2 linked regions of the Macaca mulatta genome follow. Each later gene encodes a partner of the first gene's protein in a complex. Links are inferred from orthologs where the notes say so. Each region holds a gene or a part of one and is shown on either strand. Other genes may lie near its edges.

Region 1 (3,655 bases):
TTTGGTATTTACTGTCTGGTGGGCTGATTTTAAAGATAAAAGGCATCCATGTCATAGCCCTGACATCAACAGGCTTTTGCAGAAATTATGATTTTCTTAATGTGGGAACCCCAGACTGAATGTGAAAAATAGGAACCTGCTATATTTGACTATATAGTCTAAAGGACAATTGAACCATAGAAATGCCATCTGTTATTGGCTTTATAAAGGTCAAGAAGGTACTCGGGCCTAAAATAAAAAAGGATTTTTAAAAAAATCTTCAAAACTGGATTCTACACATTGTATTTGTTGATACCATGGAAATCTTTGGCCAGAAGACATTAATTAGCTATTGAGTACTGAGTCTGACCCACAAAATTTGGTAGCTGCTCTATGAAAATGTTGAGTCAGCATTTCTTTTGACCGCCAGAGCCAATTGCTCTTATTCCTACACCTTCTTAAAACCTCCCCAATGTACTCTTCATGCAACAATGGAATAAATCTAGTTTGTGGAACTGGAATTGTATCCCACATGTGCACAGCTGTATGCCCACTTTTTCCCACAGAACTACCGTTATTCTTGGTTTGCGTATCTTTTTTTTTTTTTTTTGAAATGGAATTTTGCTCTTGTTGCCCAGGCTGGAGTGCAGTGGCGCAATCTTGGCTCACCACAACCTCTGCCTCCCGGGTTCAAGCGATTCTCCTGCCTCAGCCTCCCAAGTAGCTGGGATTACAGGCATGCGCTACTATGCCCAGCTAATTTTGTATTTTTAGTAGAGACGGGGTTTCACCATGTTGGTCAGGCTGGTCTCAAACTCCTAACCTCAGGTGATCTGCCCGCCTCGGCCTCCCAAAGTGCTGGGATTACAGGCATGAGCCACCGCGCCTGGCCAGTTTGTGTAACTTTTTATCTTTTCTGATTGTAAGGTTTTGGTTCTAAAATGCCAAGTAAAATCTTCACAAAAAAGAGAATAATTTGAGATGTTGCCCTCTGCATATCTAGAAGACATTGTCCTTCAGGGTTCTTTTTCCAGAATTATTTTTTATTCCTGAGGGCTATGCTTCCGCCTTCCTTATTCTCCAACTGTGGATTCATGGAAAATATTTCTCCAAATAGAGATTTGCATGTAAGAAAGTTAAGTGCAAATTAATATCCATAAAAACTTCAGTGCCCTAATTTTATTTTCAATGTGTATATCAGCTTCCATTAACTCCTACTGTTTATTAAACTGATTTACATCTGAAGGGCAATTTTAATTCAGTTGGTTTCCCCCAAAGGATTAATCCTGAAGGATGCGGCATAGTGTATGGAGCCAATGAATTGGAATAATTTTAAATTTCTCTTTCTTAAGGAACTGAATTCTAGAATTTTATATTTTACTTCTGTTGAAAGAATAAAAAGGCTGTCTTCAATGCTGTTATTTTCAATAAAACCACATCTTTAAAAAAATTATTCCTATGCTAACAGAAGAAGTGAATCCTAAATGCTTTACTTCATTCACAAGTACATTGAAATATTGATTATGACTACATGAGATCTGAATCTTGGGTAGACAGGCACTTGCTGTTGATGGAGTTTTTCTCATTTCATCTGAATGTTTGGCTGGTATAGACACAGCCATTTTCAGTGCATAGCACAGAAAATCAGGCTCTTAGTACAGTCATGGCTCATTCAGACCCTACACACCAAGGAGCTCCAGGTTTTTTGATGCTTTGCTTTTTGCTTCCTTAAGCACTGTGCCCCTTTTGCTTATGTCAAGTAATGAGGGGCTGCCCCCTGCCCCAGGAGTGGGCATGCCTGAGCTGTTTGTGCATAGTCTGTGCCACCTAGATGAGTATTGCTTGGCTATACTCTAAAGGTAGCAACATTTTCTTGCTGAAAAATCTAACTTCCCTGATTTGGGGGGCTTGTTTTAGGTTATCCTTCTCAACCAGTTGAACAGAGGCCACTTCAGCAGATGCCTCCTCAACTCATGCAGCATGTGGCACCCCCACCACAGCCACCACAGCAGCAGCCACAGCCACAACTGCCTCAGCAGCAGCAGCCACCACCTCCCAGTCAGCCACAGTCTCAGCAGCAGCAGCAGCAGCAGCAGCAACAAATGATGATGATGCTCATGATGCAGCAGGATCCCAAATCAGTTAGGCTTCCAGTCTCTCAAAGTGTCCATCCTCCAAGGGCCCCCCTGAACCCCGACTCCCAGAGAATGCCCATGCAACAGAGTGGCAGTGTGCCTGTCATGGTCAGTCTGCAAGGACCTGCCTCCGTGCCACCATCACCTGATAAACAAAGAATGCCAATGCCTGTGAATACTCCTTTGGGAAGCAATTCAAGGAAAATGGTCTATCAGGAGAGCCCGCAGAATCCTTCCAGCTCGCCACTGGCGGAGATGGCCTCGCTCCCTGAAGCAAGTGGCAGTGAAGCACCATCTGTCCCAGGAGGCCCAAACAACATGCCTTCACATGTAGTACTTCCCCAGAATCAGTTAATGATGACAGGGCCAAAACCTGGACCATCGCCCCTTTCAGCAACTCAAGGTGCAACTCCCCAGCAACCCCCTGTAAATTCTCTGCCCAGCTCTCATGGCCACCACTTTCCAAATGTGGCCGCGCCAACCCAGACATCTAGGCCCAAAACACCAAACAGAGCCAGCCCCAGACCCTATTATCCTCAGACACCCAACAACCGCCCTCCCAGCACAGAACCTTCAGAAATCAGTCTGTCACCAGAAAGACTCAATGCTTCCATAGCAGGACTCTTCCCTCCACAGATTAATATTCCTTTACCTCCTAGGCCAAATTTAAACAGGGGCTTTGATCAACAAGGCCTAAATCCAACAACTTTGAAGGCCATCGGGCAAGCACCTTCAAATCTTACCATGAATCCTTCCAATTTTGCTGCCCCACAAACTCACAAATTAGATTCTGTGGTAGTGAATTCTGGAAAGCAGTCTAATTCTGGAGCAACAAAACGGGCAAGTCCAAGCAACAGTCGCAGGTCTAGTCCTGGGGCCAGTAGGAAAACCACTCCAAGCCCCGGGAGGCAAAATTCAAAAGCCCCTAAACTTACTCTGGCCTCTCAGACAAATGCAGCCCTGTTGCAGAATGTGGAGTTGCCGAGAAATGTATTGGTCAGTCCCGCTCCTCTGGCCAATCCCCCTGTACCTGGGAGCTTTCCTAACAACAGTGGGCTGAATCCTCAGAATCCTACTGTGTCTGTGGCTGCAGTTGGGGGTGTTGTTGAGGATAACAAGGAGAGCTTGAATGTGCCTCAGGACAGTGATTGCCAGAATTCCCAGGGTAGGAAGGAACAGGTAAACATTGAACTAAAAGCAGTCCCTGCCCAAGAAGTTAAAATGGTTGTCCCTGAAGATCAATCCAAAAAGGATGGGCAGCCTTCGGATCCTAACAAACTTCCCAGTGTCGAAGAGAACAAAAATTTGGTGTCTCCTGCTATGAGGGAAGCACCAACATCGTTAAGTCAACTTCTTGACAACTCTGGAGCTCCCAATGTGACAATTAAACCCCCTGGGCTTACAGATCTGGAAGTAACACCTCCAGTAGTTTCTGGGGAGGACCTCAAAAAAGCATCTGTCATTCCCACACTGCAGGATCTGTCTTCTTCTAAAGAACCCTCTAATTCCCTAAACTTACCTCACAGTAATGAGCCGTGTTC
Region 2 (2,927 bases), on another chromosome or scaffold:
AATTTCATTCAAGTAGAATTCCATGATTATACTAAAGCAGTACAGTGAATACCACCATCTCTATTGAATACGTTTTTCTCTTGTATAAAACAGGTGGAGGTTTTTGATTTGCTTTTTGTCACTAATGAGAGTAATTCACGAAAGACCTACATAGTACATTGCCAAGATTGTGCACGAAAAACAAGCGGAAACCTGGAAAACTTTGTGGTGCTAGAACAGTACAAAATGGAGGACCTGATGCAAGTCTATGACCAATTTACATTAGTAAGTCAAATCAACATGTGAGTACATAGTTAGCTGGGTTATGAAGCAGCAGTGTTTGTTCTGCCACCTGATAAGTAGGAGGTAATGAAATATTTTAAATTTCCCTTTGGCTCATTACATATTGCATGAGGGTGTATTCATATCATTCCCCCCTCCATTTCCAAGTATTTATTCCTATAAAATTGGCATATATCATTTTCAGTTTTCTTCCTGGGTAAGACCAGCCTAAATAATTTTACAACAATTACATTTAAAAATCTTCACGTGCTTTAGATGGAACACTATCATATCCTTTATGTCATTTTATCTCAGTTGATAAGTTGATAAAATGTTTGTGTACGTAGGTTATTAGAGCCCACAAAATGAATCAGTAAATGTGCTTTTAAATATACTTCTGCTTTTAGAGCTAATTGTATTTGTTTAAAATTTTGTCCTTGCCAGAAGTATTAACCTCATGGGAATATTTAATGGAGCTTAACTTCCTGGTATGTTATATAACCTTATGAAATTCAAGTATACTTATAAATTGCACACAGTTTTTAATTTCAGACAGCAGATGCTTGGGGGAAGCATTTTACTTTAGCAGATCAATAGCTTTATGAATAGAAACAGAGATAATTTATGAATTGTTGATTTTCTCCAGTACTTGTCTCCCACACATATGTGATCAGAAACTTTTTGAAATTTAGTTTCTGATATTTTCACTTGAATAGTCTTCAAGATTGCTTGAAGAAGAAAATTATCTGGAATATGTTGAAGAAAATATATTACCTAGCTGAGATAGATTCTGAAGACAGTCACTAGTGAAATTGTAACTTGTTAAATTATTTTTCAAGAAGCCCCCCTTTTTTTAAGCAATCTTAAGAAACGGTAAACTTAATAACATTCCAAGAGTTTTTGACTAATTGGTGAAGAAATATAGAAAATTGCGTACGCTGAGTAGGATAATGGTCTTAGACTCTTAGGAAAATTGGCTGAATGGGAGATAGTAAGGTAGGTTGTACTTTTATGTTGTGTAGCAGGCTGGTGAACTTTTTGAGAGTTATTTCCCCTGACTTCATAAGCAGACTATATGTTTGTAGCCATGAGCTATTAACAATTTGTATATCAAAATAACCTACCTTACTTTTATTTTCAGGCTCCTCCATTACCATCCGCCTCATCTTGATATTGTTCCATGGACATTAAATGAGACCTTTTCTGCTATTCAGGAAATAACCCACTTCTGCACCACTGGTTTTTGTAGCTATCTCGTAAGGCTGCTGGCTGAAAACTGTGTCTATGCAACCTTCCAAGTGCGGAGTGTCAACCAGCTGGACGGGAGAGAGTACTGTTCCTACTCCAGGACTCTCACAAAGCTGATCAGCTGTACTTCACAAAAAAATAATAATTTCCATGTTTTGTATATATCTGACAAAACTGGCAACATCTTACAGACTACTGACTTGAAGACAACCTCTTTTATATTTCTCTATTTCTGGGCTGATGAATTTGTTTTCATCTGTCTTTTCCCCCTTCAGAATTTTCCTTGGAAAAAAAATACTAGCCTAGCTGGTCATTTCTTTGTAAGGTAGTTAGCAATTTTAAGTCTTTCTTTGGTCAACTTTTTTTTAATGTGAAAAGTTAGGTAAGACACTTTTTTACTGCTTTTATGTTTTTCTGTCTTGTTTTGAGACCATAATGGTTACACTTTTGGTTCCTAAATAAAACATTAAAAAAATTAACAGCCAAGTCACAAAGGTAATGGATTGCACATAGACTAAGGAATAAACTTCAGATTTGTGATTTTTGTTTCTAATCTTGATGTAAATTTACACTATTTATAAATACATATTTATTGCTTGAAAATATTTGTGAATGGAATGCTGTTATTTTTTCCAGATTTACCTGCCATTGAAATTTTAAGGAGTTCTGTAATTTCAAACACTACTCCTATTACATTTTCTATGTGTAAATAAAACTGCTTAGCATTGTACAGAAACTTTTATTAAAATTGTTTAATGTTTAAAGAGTTTTCTATTGTTTGAGTTTTAAAAAGACTTTATGTACAGTGCCCAGTTTTTGTTCATTTTTGAAATCTGATTATATATATTTTATATATACTTATGTATGTATATATAATATATATAGAAATCTGGATATATATGTATAAATATTTAGAACTTAAATTTTTCTCGTTTTAAGTTTCACATCTATGGTAGATTTTTGAGGTGTCTACTGTAAAGTATTGCTTACAAAAAGTATGATTATTTTTAAAGAAATATATATGGTATGTATCCTCAAGACCTAAAATGTCAGACTGGTTTATTGTTAAGTTGCAATTACTGCAATGACAGACCAATAAACAATTGCTGCCAAAATGTAGTATAATAGTAGAAAACAAATAGTGATTGAACTTAAGATTTTAAAAGGAATGTTATATGGGCTTGACAAATCCTGTACATGACTTAGTAACATTTTATATGGAAAAGGGGATTCAGGATGAAGGGCTCTATTTTAGAATGAAAATAAATTAAGAGACTTATTTTTTAATGTTAGGCAATTTTGAAATCTCATGCTTTTTTGCTTGCATGACATGATTTGGGGGAGGAGTGCTGCAAATTCCCCATCACTAGTAAAATATAGCAATCTATATTAGCGTTCACAAGTCACTGCTAATTAAT

The links. Proteins that work in one complex are often made in the same cells at the same time.
Region 2: NCOA6 (region 1) and KDM6A share a complex: the UniProt entries of both Homo sapiens proteins name them as parts of the MLL2/3 complex. The link is inferred for Macaca mulatta from reciprocal best matches to the Homo sapiens genes NCOA6 and KDM6A.

Annotation. Positions count from the first base shown.
Region 1 is NC_133415.1:87,528,814-87,532,468, reverse strand, and holds part of NCOA6 (nuclear receptor coactivator 6), read left to right. Parts: intron 1-1,896; coding exon 1,897-3,655. UniProt on the Homo sapiens protein: Nuclear receptor coactivator that directly binds nuclear receptors and stimulates the transcriptional activities in a hormone-dependent fashion. Coactivates expression in an agonist- and AF2-dependent manner.
Region 2 is NC_133426.1:45,077,914-45,080,840, forward strand, and holds the end of KDM6A (lysine-specific demethylase 6A), read left to right. Parts: intron 1-93; coding exon 94-264; intron 265-1,402; coding exon 1,403-1,432; 3' UTR 1,433-2,273; downstream 2,274-2,927. UniProt on the Homo sapiens protein: Histone demethylase that specifically demethylates 'Lys-27' of histone H3, thereby playing a central role in histone code. Demethylates trimethylated and dimethylated but not monomethylated H3 'Lys-27'.